Arabidopsis thaliana: one gene and its partner. The protein of the gene in region 1 interacts with the protein of each later gene in a pairwise test. Each region holds a gene or a part of one and is shown on either strand. Other genes may lie near its edges. The genes, in order: AGL99 and AGL52.

Evidence for each region.
Region 2: the proteins of AGL99 (region 1) and AGL52 interact in a two-hybrid assay, tested with the Arabidopsis thaliana proteins (one large-scale study listed by BioGRID).

Annotation. Positions count from the first base shown.
Region 1 is NC_003076.8:1,330,934-1,335,682, reverse strand, and holds AGL99 (AGAMOUS-like 99), read right to left. Parts: upstream 2,925-4,749; 5' UTR 2,859-2,924; coding exon 1,890-2,858; 3' UTR 1,761-1,889; downstream 1-1,760. Other genes in the region: CYP77A9 (cytochrome P450, family 77, subfamily A, polypeptide 9), read right to left, coding at 3,576-4,749.
Region 2 is NC_003075.7:6,841,544-6,857,869, reverse strand, and holds AGL52 (AGAMOUS-like 52), read right to left. Parts: upstream 8,293-16,326; coding exon 7,303-8,292; downstream 1-7,302. Other genes in the region: AT4G11270 (Transducin/WD40 repeat-like superfamily protein), read right to left, coding at 1-254, 362-431, 533-636, 725-3,409; SGT1B (phosphatase-like protein), read left to right, coding at 4,151-4,310, 4,638-4,707, 4,813-4,937, 5,046-5,172, 5,251-5,347, 5,466-5,531, 5,611-5,749, 5,875-5,954 and 2 more; TOPP7 (Calcineurin-like metallo-phosphoesterase superfamily protein), read right to left, coding at 8,838-8,855, 8,939-9,151, 9,328-9,887, 10,360-10,537; AT4G11230 (Riboflavin synthase-like superfamily protein), read left to right, coding at 12,283-12,913, 13,005-13,170, 13,266-13,311, 13,744-13,863, 14,383-14,790, 14,882-15,268, 15,356-15,451, 15,556-15,671 and 3 more.

The DNA of each region.
Region 1 (4,749 bases):
TAGAAACACTCTTTACTTTCAAACAAGGTTTAAGTCAGAATTGATTATATGAGTCTAGATTCACCTATAACCATAGGCTGATTGTTACAACTAATAGGCAAATAGTCGATGAAAGCTTTAAACAGGAGTGTCCCAGATCTTTAATGCTGATAATTACTAATTAGATAACAATAAGGATGTATAATGAAAATAGAAAAAAAACAAAAAAAGTAGTTGTTGTATTTGGACCTACAGGCTACATATTTAACATATCACCGTGAAATTTACCTGTTAGAATGATAATTTGGGAGTCTAGGAATTGTGTGATCAGTGCATGTCTTTGTTTTTATTTATTGCGTTCAACTGTTCCTTTAATAAATTAGTAACATGGGAAAGCCAAATGTCGCAGAAAGCCATTTATTTACTCACTTTCCAATTTTGGTAGACCCAAAAACAATGAATAAAATCGTGTCATCTTTCAGCTAATCAGAATTCAACATCTTATTATACTTTGAGAAAAAACAAAAAAGAAACTCGAATAAACGTGTTTGACTTGGTTGGAATTCAATTTACTTGTCAGAAATTTCAACTGTTCTTCATGAGTGGTATTATATATGTCATAAATTAAGGGTTCTTCTGCAATTTTTTTTTCTTTTTCTCATCATCTGGCTTTTATACACTGATAAAGCCATATAGCTACAAAAAAGTGAGGGTCTAAACTACAGGAGACAAAACAAACTCCCTACACTAAACAAACTCAACAACGGACTGCAAATATCAGTTCACAAAAAGAACTTTAGCCCATGAAACGAAACTGCATTAACAAACAGAGATGCAAGTCCTTTCTTCCTCAAAAACTCTTACCAGGCAGCTTGGAGGACCCATTGCCACATACGACTGCAGTCTCAGATCTCCTGTCACACTTTTAGCAATAAGATTTGCTCCCCTGTTTGCACCAAAAGTTTCCAAAACCATCATCTTCCACACCTGGAACTAAACAAAAAACTCTTTAAAGCAAAAGATTGAGCTTTAAAAGAGGGGCCAAGCCTGCGGCCTATTAACTGCTTCTACCAATCCTTTTTCTTGGCAAGCAAAAAAAAACTCTCATGACTTTGTGACTTGACATGCTTTCAATAGACCAAAGCAAAACTCTTAGCTTTGCATCCTCTACACTTCTTATACTAAATATCGCCCGGCGACTGTGAAGTAAAACCACCCAACTCATTTCTTAACACCCAAGCTCCCCCTACATTGCATTTGAACCAATTACAAGGTGTTTTTTCCCAAACTTTCCCCGCCATATAAACACTTCTCTGCATCACGTTTTGAATGGAATCAATTAGCACCGGTTCTTCTGCAATTTGTTATGGAGCCATTCTGCTCTATTTTGGTAAAGCTTTATCTGTTTTCAAGTTATGAAGTAATCACAAAATACTGGCCTAGATGATGACTGGTTTTGGTACTTAATAAGAAAGCAGAGACATTCCTAATCAAAGATTGTCAGACAGATGTTTTCTGTTGTAAGACTCAATATTGGTTTTAATATTATTTGTTGGTTAGATTAGAAAACATCCCACAGTTAAACAAGACACAAGTTGATACAAGAAAAAAAGAGTAGTAAGACTCATTGGTTTTAAACTTTTAATATAAGAAGAAAACATCACACATATAAAACAAGACAAGTTGATAGAAAAGACTACAAAACTTAAAAGAAAAAAGGATGGTTTCTTCATTAGTTAAGGCAAACCAAAACTGAACCGGTTTGAGTTAGATCAACATCCCAGAAATCCAATGAAGCATGGAAAATTGATTGAAGTCAAACCGGAACCTTCCTTGAGTAAAGTATCTCTAACGAAAATAAACCGAAGCAATCCTTGAAACATCTGTTATCTTGGAGGGAGTTTCAAATATCAGCAATGTAAGTCACTGAAATAATCAGAAAAGCAGAGATTATCCTCCGGTAAATCTTTTTGAATCATTAATCCTCCATCTTCAACAGCTTCAGGATTTGAGCACAGATTTTGCTTTGTAGTCACCATCGAGGCATAATCCTCCATCTCACAACTCTTCAAAAGGCTTTCATAGTTTGTCTCAAAATCAAGTAGCTGATCAAGATCTAGCTCTTGATCGAATTCATCCAAGTTTTCAGGTAAAACATTGTTCTTGTCAGAAATCATTAGCATCGTATCCTTGTCGTCCATATCAGACACGTGGATATTGTCCTCATCCATATTTTTGTGAACAACCAATTCTCTATCTTCAACAGTTTCAGAAGCAGAGACGGGGTTTTGATTCGTGGTCACCACAGAGACATCGTCCATGTCCAAGTTCATCGATAGAGCTTCAGCTGTTGACACATAATCAAATATTTCATCAAGATCAAATTCTTCAGTGTTCTTGTTAAACCCATCGAAATTCACAGAACATGATTCAGGATTAAAGGTTTGCTTTTGATGAGTTCCGTGTAAAACACCCTTCTTCTTCACGTCCTCCTCACAATCTCGTTGATTCTGCAAATCCTTCAGATCTTTCAACATCTTCGACATCGAGTCCATTGCGTCTCTCAGTTCCTCCAGGTCCTCTGATTTTGAAAGCCTCTCATCTTCCCACCAATAGTCTAACCCTAGACCTTCCCGAGGACGCTGATTCGTGAGGAAAGCGGCTACAACGTTATCAACAGAGGAATGGCCAAAGGTGTAGAAAGAAACGTTTGATTTGGAAGAGACCGGAGTGGCTATGATCGCAATTTGTGCATCGGAGAGAAGACAAAGATCAGAGGCTTTGCTATATAGACCCCTACTGCGTTTTGAGAAAGCAACAGCTCTTGAATCTTTCTTCTCTATCAGCTCTATAGAAATCTTTCTCTTCACGCCCCCCATTCTGTGTTCACGATTTCACAGACAAAGAAAGAGAAGGAGAAAAAGACAGAGAGATTTTTGTGTTAGCCTGTTGCGAAAGAATATGATATGGCTACTCTCTGTTTCTAATCGTGTATATATAGACTCTGTGTTGTTACTCGTTTCTAATCAATCGACTATATTTCCTTTTTCTGACAATTAGCTAATCAGTGATTAAACGAACTAAGTATAATTATTTTCCTTTTTTGAAAGTAATGACTCTTAAACCGCCTGAGACGAACCAAACTAAGTACAATCGATTTCCTTTTTTGAAAACTTAACTCGAAAAGCACCTGAAACTAACCATGGCTGGTTCAGTTAAACCATCGATTCTATTTCCTTTTCGTGATAATCTACTAATCACTAATTAATCCAATAAGTATATGTTTCCTTTTCCTTTGTCAAAGAAATTTCCTTTTCTGAAAGAGTGATTTAATCGAAAATTTGGTTCAGTAATAAACAGTTATTTGGTTTAGTCAAACCATCTAAATTATTAGTTTATACTAGCTTAATTTGAAGACATGCAATAATGCAAACCAACTAAAACAAACGTAAATCGAATATGCATGGCTCTATTTAGTAATTGAAGAGTAGGAAAACATTTAATTAAACCAAAGCAAATTAGACAAAATGCGAATTTTCTCTCTTGAACCGGGTTTGGTCAAGTTAAAAGAATCAAAGACGTGGAATCAACGAAACTTAAACCCTAGCTTTAACCCTCGCTCTCAACGGATTCTTCATCACCACCGCGAACACCAATTTGCCGGTGAAATCCACTTGGCTCTCCGGCGGGTACGAGCTCCACTCAAACTCTTGAACCATCCTCGACAGCATTAGCTCCACGTGTACGACCGCCATTCCAAGCCCCGGACAAATCCGACGGCCAATTCCGAACGGCATCATTTTAACTCCGGCGACTCCGGTTAAATCGGCGTCTTCTCCACCTGTTATAAACCGGTCCGGATCAAATTTCTCCGGTTTAGACCATATCTTCGGGTCTTCACTTATACCGGGAAGATAAAACTCAACATTAGCCCCGACGGGAATATCGTAACCCGCGAGATTAGTCGGCTCCGTAACGCCGTGAGTTAACGTGAAATACGTCGGTGGATGTCTCCGGAGAAGCTCCTTAACAAAAGCTTGTAAAAAGACCATTTTATTCAAATCTTTCTCCTCAACCGTTCGATCATCTCCCACCGTTGATTTAATCTCATCGTACAGCCGAGATTGAATCTTCGGATTCGATATCAGCTCCGCGATTCCCCACTCTATCGCCGTCCCCGTCGTATCCGTACCGGCGTTGAGAAACTCTGAACACAGCGTCACGAGATCTTCATCTGACGGTGACGTTTCACGACCATCAACTCTGAGATCGAATAAAGTATCAAGATACGCGAAAGACGACGCCGTTTTATCGGAGCCGAGATTTCGAATCGCTAATCGTCGTTTCTCGATGAATCCAACGACGAATTGGACAAGTTTCCGGCGAAGTTCCAGAGAATTTTTCCTCTCCTTGAAGTAAAACGGAGTTAGAATCGGAAGATAGTCGTGAATTCGTGGATCAACGGCGGTTAAAATCTCCGTCATCATCTGATCCATCTTCTCAATCGATTCTTCTTCCATTTTAACTCCGAAACACATATCTAACAAGATACAAAAAGCAGCGAATCTAGCGTTTCTTAGAACCCAGACGAGCCCGTCGTTTTCCTTAGCTTCAGATTTGATCTTCTCCACGAGCTTATCAATGGCGGATTTTCTAATTGAACCAAATTCCTTTAACCGGTTAGAGCAGAGCATGTTTTGAACCATGTTCCGTCTCAGTGATCGCCACACGGGACCGTACATAGCGGAATGAACGGTGATATCGCTAGAA
Region 2 (16,326 bases), on another chromosome or scaffold:
TCAGCCTGAGAAAGCCGTTGAGCTTGATGGATATGCTCAGAGTCCAGACTGTTTGTGGGATATTCTTCCCCTGTGCTAAGAACTTTAGGTTCGTTTAGACTGATTCCAGACAGGGATCTCACCAGTTCTGCATGTTCAGATGCGTGATCACTGCATAATGGAAGAGGTATTGCCAAAGAAGCAGTGTGGTGGAATAATGACCGAGCTGCCATACGGACTTGTTCGCTATTATCTTGCCAGAAAGTTACCAAAAGCTACAATAAAATAAGGAGAAACTTTTAGCGGTTTTGTGACTATTTAGATAAAATACAAAGTCATCTCAACCCACATAACATCTGGTGCACATAGCCAACGACCTCACCTGAAGTAATGGTGGCTTCAGATCTGGATATTTCTCTGCCAGATTTCGCGTGTAGAACGCTGCCAAGTTGCTGTAAGAAAAAAAAAACGAAATAGTTTTTACATGTGGGAATAAAACATGAAGATATACCTTTGCAAGAAGAGAGATGGTTATAAGGATCACATGATGTACCTGCTATATGTGGCAGTGGAATGTGACAGACTTATCATGCACTGAGCAAGTGACACCATAATCACTGACCTCAACGCAGTAAACTCCGAAGATGATTTCCAGAGCTGGAATGTTTTATGAAATCTCAGATAAAGAAGGATATTGTTGATAATGTGTGCGGTTGTGACATCAATATAGGTCGTCAAATATTACCTCAAGTGTTGCATTCAAACCAGGGAATGCTAATGTCAATGATCCTTTGTCTCCCTGCAAACCGGAGGTTACAATAAAACTCTCTGGTCTTTTTAGCTTTAGATGTGCTACTAGCATTTGATCGAGTTCAAAATCTATACCCCACAAATGCAGAAAGGATAAACTAAATCGAATTAGATATTCTCCAATAGCCTTGTCCATGTGAACAACTTCTGCATGGTTATCTAGAGTCTTCTGGACAGGAGACTTGTCTTTTGAAGTCTTCTGCTGAGCAGTTGCCTTATCACTCTTCTCTTCTAGCATCTTATGCATATCAGAGTCTTCATGTGTTTGACAATAAACTGCTAAAGACGAAAGATCGAAAATCAGAGTAGATATTCCAGGGAATGGGCAAGTGCATTTGATGGAAGGGTATCTGATGCTTTGGAGAAAAGACGAAGCAGTAGAACTCTCTTCTCTAGTCTTTTCCTGCGAAGAACTTGGCTTAGATGTTGACAAAGAGGCTGCTCGCTCGTAGTTCTTCAAATAAAATGGTTTCCTCTCTTCGTCTACTGGGAAAAGCAAAGAGGAAACTGATGTATTTCCATTTAAGACAGTACCAGAATGAGATTTCTCACTAATGCCTGCACAGAAATGATCAAACATTGAATGTGAAGCTGCCCCATGGAGTACACGTTCTCGAGCACCTGTTTTCACATCCCAAATGTATAAGACATCAATTGGATCTGATTTTCTCGAAAGGGAGCGAAAAAGACATGCAATGTAGCCTCTTGTACCATCCCATACAACTTTTGTAGGATAGTTTGGGTGCCCAGGAAACATCCTTTCGACCCGCAAAGTCTCAAGAGAAGAAAGAGCAACACATGAATCATCCCCAACAGATAGAAAGCACTTGCTCCATGGGCGTTTTGTTGGAGCTGGGGATAGAATGATCTGGCGCACTGGAGCAACATGATGATGCATGATCATGATAACATTTCCGCTTTCGAGATCCCAAATGCGGATGGTACAGTCCATACTTCCGGAGATCAAAACATGAGAAGAATTACATCCATTTGCATCCCCAAACATTCGATGCGCTGCTAAGCATAGAACAGATCCTGTATGTCCCAATAGACGCTGTTTATAGACGAGTGGATCAGTATCTGATCTCGGGCTTGAAGCAGGAGAATCAATTCCATGAAGAAAATCAAACTTTGCAATCTCTATCTCACCACTAAAGAAACCATAGACAACAGCATATGGGACATACATATTCTCAGAAATAACCATGGACGATGACACACACTGTCCATTGTCACTAACAAAGCTTTGTAGATCATTTTTGGCACTGCACTGACTTCCTGACTGCGAAGTACCAGTTTCTGCACTAACCGAGCCCTTGGGATCTAAACAGGAGCTTGAAATCCAATCAGCAAAATAGGAGCTTTCTCCAAGCACTTTGCGCTGAAGTTCTTTTTCTTTACCATTTCCTAGGCACAATGACCAGATCGTTATATGGGGCCTCCACTGAGAAGGTTGTTCAACATCACAACAACTAGACTCAACGCGAAGAAGATTCTGCCTCAACTGAACAAAACAAAACGTTGATTTCACGGAACGCTTATCATCAGGGGCAGTAACAATCTCACCGAAGTTTTTATATGTAAATTCACCATCTATATATGACATAGTAAACAGCACAGCAGAACCACTACCATCCCACAGCACAAAAGTTTCAGAAATACTATCATCTTTATCACCTTCAATAGTTGATGTACTAGAGTAAAGTATCATTGCTTCTTTGAACAGAAAATTTGAAGAATGCGAATCATCAACAAAAGATATCTCTCCTATTGCCTCCTCGCGATTCAACAACCAAAAGACACACCTACTCTTCGAGAAAAACGCAACAAGATCCCCTCGAGTTATTACTGATACAGCAATTTCCCCTTCACTCAACCAGTTTCTAGACACTAGAGAGCCTTTGCTCGGTTCAGATTTCTCTGACACTGAGACCAACTGCAACCTACCAAACGAATCAGCCATAAGCAATGATTCCTGCTCATCTAACTGAACCACGCCCATAAAATTCAAACAACCAATAGATAAATTCCCATGGAAAACTGTATGAACAATAGTAAGAGTGTAAGTATCAACAACAACCACCGTGCATCTCGACTTCTGAAAATCAGTATCTGCTAAAGTCTCAGCCCCATCAACATCGATATAAGAACAACCAACACATACATATCTAGGCTCTGATGGCAAAGTAGACAAAATCGATGGACTTCCAACCCAAGGAGGTAATTTTCTTCGTTTCCTACACTGACCACTACTTCTACTCCATACACACAAGACACCATCAGTACAAGCACTGATCAATGCACAACAGTTAACAAATGGATCCGCATTACCATTATCTGATGCAACAACTCCATTACTTGAAAGTATTGTAGGATCACAAATAGCAAGATCCACTATTGGTGAAGTATGGCCACACAACATAGCAATCGGTTTAATCTCATGATGAGGGAGACGAGTTACAGAATTGGATTCGGAAGAAGAAGAGATGCTCCACCAGATGATTGACCCATCGGATCCACCGGTATAGAGAGTCGGTGGATTGGTTAGAGAGGCTGTGGCGGTGACCCGATGAGACGGAGGAGCACGAGACCATAGGCAGGCCACAGATCGGCACTTCATCGGCTTGAATCAAGCGGTACAAGCATCGACCGAGTCAGTGAACGAGTCGGGGTGAGAGAAGAAGGAAGAACGAACTGGTAAACGACGTCGTAACAGTAATCACGACAAATATATCTGTACATATTTAGATGGATTTTTCGAGGTTGCAAATAAATTTTTTAAGGTAAATATTTGGCAAAAGTTTGATAATTGATATTTTAACTTTACTAGATTATTATCAACTTAAAATACTTAAATCTGTGTATTGGACGACGGGTCCTAATCTAGTCAATATATAAATTATAACTTGTTAAAATATATCATAGTCTAAATTCACAAATCACATTGTATTTGCTAAACTATGAGTAAACGATTACGATATAAACAAAATGAGTAGAAAATGATTATTTTAAATTATTGTAGTTCTCTATAAATATCTTTACCATTAGTTTTCTTTCCTTTTTTCAGTATTATTCTTTTGTCAACTAATTTATTTGTTAAAAAATCTGGACTTATCAAGAATCAATCTTATGTTAAAAAATAAAATCAAAAGGAAATTAGAAAATAAAATAAAATCTAATTACCTTTTTGTTTTTGGTTATATGACCTAGTAGAGGTATTAAAACGTTCTTAAAAGAAAAAAAAAATCCCAAACACAGCAAAAAAAAAAAAAGCCTAGAGGAATAGAATCGGTCTCTTTCTCTATAATCTCTCTCTCTCTCTGACTTGTTTGTGTTCTCTCAAATCCTCTGATAAGAATCAATGGCCAAGGAATTAGCAGAGAAAGCTAAAGAAGCTTTTCTAGATGATGACTTCGATGTTGCTGTTGACTTATACTCCAAAGCCATTGACTTGGATCCCAATTGCGCCGCCTTCTTCGCCGATCGTGCTCAGGCCAACATCAAAATCGATAACTTCACTGGTATAAATATAACTCTCTTCCTTACCGTTAATATCATCGTTAAAGATTGAAACTTTATTAGATGTATTGCTTCGTTGACGCTTTTGGGGTTCTGGGTCTTGTTCTTTTGTCGTTACTTTAATTCGATCTGTTGATAGTGGAACAAAGTTTTGATTTTTGTTATTGGTTTGGTTTAGTTTTAGTTTTAGGGTTTCTTTTGTGAGGTTGTTGATTCGGATAAGAAAACTTATTTGAGTAATTGTAATTGTAGTTACTGTACTTTGATTGAATTGTTGTTGTTTGATGATTTGATTTGATATTTTATCTTTTTGTGGTTTCTATGAGCAGAAGCTGTTGTAGATGCGAACAAAGCCATTGAGTTGGAGCCAACGTTGGCAAAAGCCTATCTCAGAAAGGGGTATGATATTTTCACCATCTCTCTGTAGTGAATGATTTGATGTTATGTTCAAATTTGATTGGAATTATAATTCTATCTTCTGATTCTTTGCTACTGTGTTCGCAGCACTGCTTGTATGAAGCTAGAAGAATATAGTACTGCTAAAGCAGCCCTGGAAAAGGGAGCTTCTGTTGCACCGAATGAACCAAAGTTTAAGAAGATGATAGATGAATGCGATCTTCGTATTGCAGGTATGTTACATCAACTCCATAGCTTAAGAAATTAGTTACTAAACGATTTTGGGTATTTGTCTGCGCCTAGGGCTATAATTTTGATATAGTCTTTGTATCTCTGTTCAGAAGAAGAGAAAGATTTGGTTCAGCCGATGCCACCGAGTTTGCCTTCAAGCTCTACAACACCACTAGCAACGGAAGCTGATGCTCCTCCTGTTCCAATTCCTGCAGCACCTGCCAAACCGATGTTCAGGTAGTCTGGTTATCTAACATGTAAATTCTTCTTTAATTTCCAGAATCATTTTATACTCATAACTTTATTGCTCAACAGGCACGAGTTCTACCAGAAACCAGAAGAAGCGGTGGTGACAATTTTCGCCAAAAAAGTACCTAAGGAGAACGTAACTGTCGAGTTTGGTGAGCAGATTGTGAGTATCCTTCAATCAGAGAATTCATGACTTTTATCTGAACTTCAGAAACTATCTCTCTTTGTAATTTAACACTGTATTGATTTGAGATGTCTATCTTGGCTTTATTTTGGTGCAGCTGAGTGTTGTCATTGATGTTGCTGGAGAGGAAGCTTATCATCTCCAGCCGAGATTGTTCGGGAAGGTATATTTTATTTGACATATGTAATTACGGTGTTTTCACACACACTTTTACTAAATCCTTCTTCATGGGTGTTTTTCAGATAATACCAGAGAAGTGCAGATTTGAAGTATTGTCGACCAAAGTTGAGATCCGTCTTGCGAAAGCAGAGATAATCACCTGGGCCTCCCTTGAATATGGTAAAGGGCAAAGTGTTTTGCCCAAACCCAATGTCTCATCAGGTTTGTCTCAGAAGATACCAGCTTACGTTTACTATTTTATTCTGAACCACAATCGTAAAACCTTAAACAAACTGAACCCAAAGTGGTCTCTCTCTCTTCTCATTTGATTTTATGTGCATATGCAGCGCTGTCGCAGAGACCAGTGTACCCATCTTCTAAGCCAGCAAAAGACTGGGACAAGTTGGAAGCTGAAGTGAAGAAACAGGTTCCACAAACGCTAACTTCTCATCCTTAACACTAGAGGCTTTGCTGTACTTTGTTCTTTCTGCTTATCACTTTTGAATTTCGCAGGAGAAGGATGAGAAGCTTGATGGAGATGCAGCTATGAACAAATTTTTCAGCGACATATACTCGAGTGCAGATGAAGACATGAGGCGGGCAATGAACAAATCATTTGTGAGCAAATCTATCTTTGGTCTTTAAAATTTTGGTTTAATAACTCTGCTTTGTTCTTCGACTAATGAGATTTTCCTCTCGGGTGGTTTTTGGGTTTGACAGGCAGAGTCGAATGGGACGGTACTGTCGACAAACTGGAAAGAAGTTGGGACTAAGAAAGTGGAGAGCACTCCACCAGATGGCATGGAGCTCAAGAAGTGGGAGTATTGATCTTCTTAAAATCCCCTTTTCTGGTTTTTGTTAAAAAAAAGTCTGACAAATCTTTTGAACTTTTAAGGTGTTTTTCTTTTTTGGTTTCTGCTCGAATTTGTCTCTCTCCATTCTTGCGTTGTGGTCTCAAAGAACGTTCTGATACTTTGATTTTGTATTAGAAAACTAAAACTCGCAAGTCTGTTGTTTTGGAACTTTGTTCTTTTATCGAGAGGCTTATCTAAATATTTCTTGACATAATTGCATTGTGGTCTAAAAGGTTAGTTGTATAAGCCCAACTTTCTTTAGTTAAAACCGATGTGCATCTATATAGTGAGACAGTATTTTCACCTTTGGGGTTCCTGGTCTAGGAACACTGTTGTTGAATCCAAATCTTTCTTTCTTCTCAAATGCCTTAAGGATTTGAAATGAACATGTTAAGCTATCATCAACACTCATCAATGCACCAGCATTGTCAAACTCGCCACAGTAATTGGGTGCAGAGAATTTGTCTTCACGAAATCAGAGCTACTTTCCATCTTCATGTATATATTAGCTGATTCAGACAAGAAGGATACTAAGTTACAAGTTTGTTATAAGATGCAAGAGTAAAGGATTTCACTTTGCAGGTTGTATCAACCAATTGAAACAGTCTTGTCACCATAAGTGATTTTAGATTATAATTTGTTTCATGCAAGTTTTTGTGAAAGACTTTTATGGAAGTTCATATATATATATATATATATATATATAATACTAACTGAAATACCAACTTAAAAGTAAAAACAAAATCTCCACAAATGGATCTGTTTTACAGTTATAACAACACTGTAAAATAAAAAAAGACAGTAGCAGGAAGAATTCAGAAGCAAAAACAGCTTCAATCTCTCTCTGATCAGCTTCCTACTTATAAGTATTGACTGACTCTTAATGAAGCTTCAAAAAACAAATCCTTTTGGACAGATTTGTTAGCAGAGAAGTCTTGAGTTGTCAGAAAAACAATAGCTGTTAGGAATGTTGTGGAGAGGTGGCAGAGAAGATGTCTGTAGCAAACTGCTCCCATCATAGCTCGAAAACATATCTTGAGAGAAGCTAGTGTTACCATAAGGGAATTCATGTGGAACAGTGTTTGAGAGATTAGGATGTTGTAAACCGTTGTTGTTATTGATGATTTCACTCATCATACACAAGTTCTGATCAAAACCATGAAGCTGATCCTGTTGCTGCATCAAGTGATTATTCAACCCGTAGTTATTCGCCGAAAGTAACGGTGAGTAGTCTTGTGTGTTTGACACGCCAGGATGTTGAAAGTTGTTGTTGTTGGTGATGTTGTCCAAACACATGTTCTGACCAAAACCATGCTGCATCTGGTAATTGATGAGTTGATTGGATTGTGAAGCAGACAGTGGGAGTTGTGAGAGAGTAGCATCTCCATGGTTGTACATATACAGCGAGAACTTGCTAGGATCCAAGTGTTGTGTCTGGTTCAGATACGATGGTGTTAAACTCTGATGCACCAAGTTTGTGTTCTGTTTTTTCTGCGACTCAACAATACGAAGCCTTTTTTGGAGAGTAGAAAGTGTTCGTTCTAAGGACTGAATCAATTGAGAGAGTTGTTGAGGAGAGTAATGATCAAAGTTTGGATACCAATTAGGGTTCTTCACATAATTCGTCTTCCCCTTATACTTGTCTTTGTCCTTCACCTTCTCTTTCTCGAGGAACTCATGAAGATTGAGGCACTTCTTGCGTTTTCTGTCCTCTTTATACCTCAAAGCCATATTTTTCACTGTCTCTCTATCCTTAGGCCATGTTCTCAGATCACCGTCTGGTCCGTAATAGATGACGCAAACGTCAATAGCACAGAGAATCGAAAGCTCTTCTGCTTTCTTAAAGATTGTTTTAAGTCTGTTTGTTAAACTTGTTGGATTACATGACGAAGAAGAAGAAGCTTGCTTCATCGTGATTTTGCCTTGATTCGCCAAGCAAGAAACTAGGGTTTTTTTTTTCTCCGACAGAGAGATAACACACAAAGAAGAAGCAGAATTGTGGAATTGATGGTGAAAGATTGTGAAACTTCACTCAATATGTTTATATAGATTGCCTTGGTGCCTACGGGAACAAGCATACGCGTCGGCGACGCGTGAAGAAGATAAAAGCAGTATCTATCCTCAAATCTAGGTTACCTCTTCTCTTATTATTTAGCTTATAGTATATATTACGTCAAATAAGATAATTGTTTTTCAAGTTTCATTTTATTATTTTTATAAATTTTACGTTTATGTTTTTAGAATATGTTTCTAAAAGGTTAGTTGTATAAAACCCAACTTTCTTCAGTTGAAAATGCTGTGAACATCTTCCACAATTTTTACAAAAAAAATCTAAACAAAACATAATGTTGCCTCAACCATAAGAAAACAGATAACAATCTAACAAAACAAACTGTTTGCCTTACAAAATTCGAACCCGTCGGTTTCACTCGTTTCTTGAACCCATCGACGACGAGTTAACGACCTTTTCCACCCTGCAAGAATGTTAACATATCAAACCTGATATCTAACATCTACCTACATTGCATCTATATACAGGGGGATAGTATTTTCACACCTTATGAGGTGGGGTTCCTGGTCTAGGAACATTGTTGTTGAATCCAAATCTTCCTTTCTTCTCAGATGCCTTAAGGATTTGGAATGAACATGTTAAGCTATCATCAACACTCATCAATGCACCAGCATTGTCAAACTCGCCACAGTAATTGGGTGCAGAGAATATTGTCACTAGTTGTCTCTTTGCAAAGAACTCGTATCCATCTTCTACAACCTGCAGGAACAGTATAGTTAAGTAAAACTTGGCTTGGTGAAAAAACTACAGATCCTTGCATTAACAACTGAGTTATGATTTCTTAACCCTCTGAATTCAGAGAACAGTCACAGAGAAGAACAAACCAATCCAGAGAAATCAAAAGAGAGAACTCAAGGAATAAATTTTAGCTTTACCTGATGAGCTCGGCATATAAGATCAAGGTCATGAGTTTGAAGGAACTCAGCTACTTTGTCAGCCCCAAATGTATAAGAGACACCTCTGTCATTCTCCCCCCAGCCTTGAATCTCTCTGTCAGGATCAGCCCACAACAAATCACAAAGAATGCCCTGATCAGGAACGTCAATAGGACGAGGAATTCTCCTGATGTCATCTAAGCTCTTAATATCAGGCGATAGTCCACCATGCATGCAGAGGATCTTATCATCAATGAGAGCAGAAACAGGCAGACAGTTGAAGCACTCGGTGAATGTTTTCCATAAGCGAACATTATATCTTCTTTTGCATTCATCGTAGAATCCATATACACGGTTGATTGAAGCACATTCGTGATTGCCTCTGAGAAGAAAGAAGTTGAACTTGTATTTGACCTTATAGGCAAGAAGAAGGCATATCGTCTCTATGCTCTGCTTACCACGATCAACATAATCCCCAAGAAACAAGTAGTTCGCAGCTGGTGGATAACCACCATACTCAAACAACCGCAAGAGGTCTGGAAACTGACCATGAACATCTCCTGCTCATCAACATATAAACTTAAAACCATCAACAAAATTACAAATCATACAGTTATGATAGCAACAGAAGGGTTTAATATCTATCATACACCAAATTCAGCAACTAAACAAAACTATTAGCTATCAAATGAAGTAATAAGTCAAGCGAGATACCAACAACTGCTTATGCAACAGAGCTAAGGGACCATGGTTCCTCAAAGACACAAAAGTAAGAGGTCACTACTCACAATTCCGCAAGAAACACTAACTTAAAGTGGCAGAGCATTTAACTAATTCACAACATACACATCTTCAACCATTTCAATGTACACTTATATCCCAAAAATCTAAGCTTTAAGCTTCCCAAACAACAAACTTACAAAGCTAAACCCTTACATCAAAAAATGTAAAATTGATCAAAAACCCACAACACAAAAACGAATTCAAGATAAAGTAAACAGAGAGAAACATTTCTCTATTCAGTAACATTACCGCAAATCTTGATAGGAGCCTCGAGCTCGAGGAGATTAGGCTGACTGAGAAAAACCTCTTTTGAAGCTAAACATAGCTGACGTATCTCCGTCTCAGTAATCTGTGCTTGCTTCACCGTCCTTCCATTATTCGTCGCCAAAAGCCGTCGTATTATATCGTCAAGTAAAGTCTCATCCATCGTAGCAACAACCCTAATTTCTCTCTAACGCACAGAAATTAGATACCGGAAACTTCTCGTCTAACGAATCCAGAGAGATCCGACGATTGTTTTAACCGCCGACGTCTCTGGGTTCGTATCGTTGACGGAGAAGAAGATACAGAGAGCGTTAAGTAGAGAGAGGGAGAGAGACCCAAATTTCGTAAACCCTAGAAACTTTTATAATAAACGCGGTAATAATTATTTTTCATCATCCAAAACTCGAAGCCAAAGAAAGGAGCGGAGTGGTCACGTGACAAGTTCTCAGACGCACGTGCGATTGTTGTTGATTAGTCTGCATCCAGTTATGTGGTTTCATTTGGTTCAATTTAGGTTAGGATCGGTTTTGGACAAAAACTTATAATAAAAATAAAGATAACTAACTAATTTTAATTCATATTATAGTTTTAATATACTTAAATTTAAATTATTATATTTTGTGAATTTAGTTAAATGGGTTGGTTCCAAAAACTTTATATACAAGGCAAATTACTATACCGGTTAGGTTATAAAATTAATTTGGGTGGATCTCGATTCGATAATGTTGACCCTCCTTAATGTATGTGTTGAATGTATTATGAGAATTATGTTATTTTGGTTTAAATTGCTCACCAAAATACAATCTTAAATGTATTTGTGTCATATAAGTTTTTTTCTCTCTTAATTCTCTCAAATCTTTTAGAGATAAAAAACTTTGAATCTTGTTACTATCTTTTGCTAATCCGATTAACATCGGGCTTTAGATTTCGTTTTATGTTTTAGCTTTTCGTCTTCGTTCGTATCTATCTCCGACTTATTGTCGGTTTATCTTCCAAACTTTGTTTCGGTTATTAGTTTTAATCACATGTTTTTATTTTTGGCGGAAAAATCACGGGTTTATGTTTTTTAAAAAAAAATTTACGAGTTTACTTTTTCTCAATTTTATCGCTTATATATTTAAGAAATTTGGAAAAATAATGATTTATTAAATTGGTTTAGATGTGTTGGTTAAACTTAAATTGACATTGGTTTAGAGATTTTAATTAGTTTAATTCAATTTTACAAAACTTGATGTGTTAATTGGGTAAACCATTGAAACCATTAACCATTACAACCCAACTCATTTTACTCATCAAACCAATTAACTCATCAACTCATTTGACCCATTAACTCATTTGAGTCAAAATTTTCAACTCATTAGGGTTCATGGATTGAGTTGAGTTGAGACATTTTGATACCTCTAGTTTTAAACACTAAACAAAACAAATACAATTCAAATTCAAATTATTTAGTTGTGATATAGATTTTAACCAAATGAATTGTATTTTATTGTTTTTATATTTTAAAGAATAAAAATCAAATATAATAATTATACATTAATTAATATATAAAAATTCAAAACATTAAATCATATATATTTTTAATATGCTAAACAAATTAAATTTTTTTAAAAAAATATATAATTTCACAACAACAGCGAGTTAAGTATAATTAAAGTGTACCTAAAACATGCACAAAAATATAGTATAATTTTTTGTGTCGTAACTCGTAAATATAGTATAATTTAAAACCGTATTTTTAGAAACCAAACTTATTTTTATATTTTCGTTCTGCTTTGGTAATTTCCTCTGGTCGTTCCTTTGATTAGTACAAAAGACAAATTTTATAATAAACACAAAATTCAAAAACTGTATTTATTCAGTCTTCTCCCTCCTTGGCTTCTCTCCTCTCCTCCCAACAAATTCAAAATGTCAATGTCATTTTCCGGCGGGACTCACAACGATCGTTGGGGCTCCGATTTAGCTTCCGCCGGAGAATTCACCCAAAGCTTTCCATCCTTACCAGCAACATACTCACCCTCACCCTCCTCCTCCTCCTCCTCCGGCGAAGAGCTCCTAGAAGTAACAATCGAATTCCCAAGCGGCGTAATAATAAACATCGACTCCGTTACCGGAACCGGCACCGATATTTCAGGTACCGATCTAGAGATCACCTCTTGCTCGGATTCCGGTTCAGGATCAAGGTCGCTTAGCTTAGGATGGAGCGCGTCGTCGGAGAGACTGACGGCGGGGACGAACTCAAAGCAGCAGATCCAGAAGATCTCACGGCGTGGTTACGGTTATTCGTCTCGGTCTGCACCGGAACCGGTGGTTCCACACAGAGGCGAAATTACCGATTCGGTTAATCTCCCTCGAGCTTTATCTCAGCGACCAACTAGACCTAATCGGGATGGATCGGGTACAGAGAGAGCGATTCATGGTTTGAAATTCATAAGCAGCAAAGAAAATGGAATCGTTGATTGGAACGATGTTCAAAACAATTTCGCTCATCTTTCTAAAGATGGTTATCTTTTCAAAAGTGATTTTGCTCATTGCATAGGTTCGACATAATGATTTTCACAGTTTTGAAATTGAGTTTGACTCTGGAGAATCGATAGAGATTGTAAATTTTGTTGTTCTGTGTTTGAAAGGTTTGGAGAATGAAAATTCCAAAGAGTTTGCAGACGAGTTGTTCGACGCATTGTGTAGGAGAAGAAGAATAATGGTTGATAAGATCAATCTTCAAGAATTATACGAGTTTTGGTACCAAATTACAGACGAAAGCTTCGATTCTCGTCTTCAAATCTTCTTCAACATGTATTGTTATCAATTATCATCAAATCTTGTTAAACATATTGATCAACATGTAGCTAAAGTTCTTGATTTGTTTTTTCACTTTTTGAAACTTGCAGGGTTAAAAATGGAGATGGTAGAATCACAGAGAATGAAGTAAAAGAGGTTTTTTTTTTTTTTTTTACTTTTGTTCGATCTTCTTTGTTTAGTATTCTAATCAGCATTGACTAATGAATCTTACATGAGTCCCATTATCTTTATATGTTTTAGTATTGTATTATCCCTCTTGCTTAATTTTATAGAGCTACATGTTTTTTTTTTTTGGTTGGTTATGTTGGTCTTGATATTATTCTTTCTTATGTCTACCTTGTAACCAATGCAAGACTAGGAGATTTAAGTTGCAATTGTTTTTTCTGCATATAATTTGATTGACCTTGTAGCAGCTTTCTTAATTTAAGGAAGTGATTCTAACTACCAATGAAAAGATATTGTTTTTCTATATAACCACTAAGTTTAACGTTGAATCTTTCAAATAGAAGCTTCTCAATGGTATTAACTACTTTTTGTATGGTTTTCTATGATTTTGACAACCTATAGATTATTATACTAAGTGCATCGGCAAATAATCTATCGAGGTTGCGAGAACGAGCAGAGGAATATGCCGCACTGATCATGGAAGAACTTGCACCAGATGGACTCTATTCTCAGTACATAGAGGTGGTTCCATCACTTTTAACTCCCAATCTTGTTAAATGTCCTAACAGAAAACATGTTTAAATACCGTAAAACTTTTGATAGTGTGTAGATCAGTCTCTTTCTATGAGAGAGAGAGTAGAAGGGTTCTTTGTTAAGTTTGACCTTAGTAAGTGATGACGTTGAGCTCTCTTACCTTTCAAGTTCTCTGATAGGGACATTTGACTGAGTCAAAACCAATGAGCTTAAAGTTATGTGCTATGCAAGTTTGTTTTTGTATGGAATTAATATAATAAAAGGTTGACGAAGACAAAAATGTAGAGGTCCACATATAGAGCTTGAACAAATATTGTTATCAAAAATAATCTCTAGTGGTGTAGTGGCGTTTAAGTGTATGATTAAGAATTTAGATAATCTTACTGTGATTAGTAACAAATATTGTTTGAGAGACTGCCCACTTGCTTGAGACTGAGACAAGATAGGTAGTAGAACTCTGTCAACATTCTAATATGTTGTCTTTGTTATGGATTTGAAATGATGCAGTTAAAGGACCTAGAGATACTGCTACTAGAGAAGGACATATCTCATAGTTACAGCCTACCGTTCAGCCAGACGAGCCGAGCCTTAAGCCAGAACCTAAAGGATAGAAGATGGAGAATGAGCAGAAACTTGCTTTACTCTTTGCAAGATAATTGGAAGAGGATTTGGGTTTTGACATTGTGGTTTGTGATCATGGCCTGGTTATTTATGTGGAAATGCTATCAGTACAAACACAAAGACGCATTCCATGTAATGGGTTACTGCCTTGTCATGGCAAAAGGCGCAGCTGAGACACTGAAATTCAACATGGCTCTTATTCTTTTGCCGGTCTGTAGAAATACCATCACCTATCTCAGATCCACCGCTTTGTCCCACTCAGTGCCTTTCGATGACTGCATTAATTTTCACAAGGTTAATCATAAACCATTTTTTGTCTTGCCTTTCATAAGAAAGATACTATGCTTCAGCTGAATCCGACTTTCCGGTTTTTGCTTAAACGCAGACGATCTCTGTAGCAATCATTAGTGCAATGCTTCTTCATGCAACCAGCCACCTCGCCTGTGACTTCCCAAGGATTCTAGCATCTACTGATACAGATTACAAAAGATACTTGGTTAAGTACTTTGGTGTGACCAGACCCACATACTTTGGTTTGGTGAATACTCCTGTGGGAATCACTGGAATTATAATGGTTGCTTTTATGTTAATTGCATTCACATTAGCCAGTAGAAGATGCAGGCGGAACTTAACTAAGTTGCCGAAGCCATTTGACAAACTAACCGGATATAATGCCTTCTGGTATTCACATCACTTACTTCTAACTGTTTACGTCCTTTTAGTCATCCACGGTGTTTCCCTCTATCTCGAGCATAAATGGTACCGCAAAACGGTACATTCCATAAACTCTTTACCATTTTACTTTTTGCATGCTTACATAATTGGCTGTGGTAACAATAACATATACTGCATCCTACAGGTATGGATGTATCTTGCTGTACCAGTTTTACTCTATGTTGGTGAGAGGATCTTTAGATTTTTCCGTTCCAGGCTTTACACAGTCGAAATCTGTAAGGTAAAATCTCACTTACAGTTACATTTTGAACTGAATTACATGAAAAGACACATTGTCAATCATCTACTATTATCTCTATACCAACTCAAATGATTTGGTTTCAGGTTGTAATTTATCCCGGAAACGTTGTTGTGCTACGCATGTCTAAGCCTACATCATTTGATTACAAGAGTGGACAATATGTATTTGTTCAGTGTCCATCAGTATCAAAATTTGAGTGGTGAGTGTTTTATAGGGAACCAAAACAAGCCTAATAGCTTTCCTTGCAATCCTAGAACATATACAAACTCTGTTCTTTGACACCACAAAGACTAACTTAAAGATTCTCGGTCCTAAACTCCATCTCCAGGCATCCATTTTCTATTACTTCTTCCCCTGGAGATGATTATCTCAGCATTCACATTCGTCAGCGCGGTGATTGGACAGAAGGGATTAAGAAGGCATTCTCAGTGGTATGTCATGCCCCTGAAGCTGGAAAAAGCGGACTTCTCAGAGCAGATGTACCAAACCAAAGAAGGTGCATAAAATTCTTTAAAATTCAATATATTATTCTCAGAATGTGAATTTTGATACTCTCTCTTGTAATATAGTTTTCCAGAGCTGTTGATAGATGGACCTTATGGCGCTCCAGCGCAAGACCATTGGAAGTATGATGTGGTATTACTGGTTGGCCTTGGAATCGGCGCAACACCTTTCGTTAGCATTTTGAGAGATCTACTCAATAACATTATTAAGCAACAGGAACAAGCTGTGAGTATAACAAGCTTAAAAACCTTGTTGATGAGTAACAGAATCTCAACTAAACTTTTTTGGAGTTATGTTATATTCTCAGGAATGCATCTCAGGTAGTTGTAGTAACAGCAACATCTCGTCGG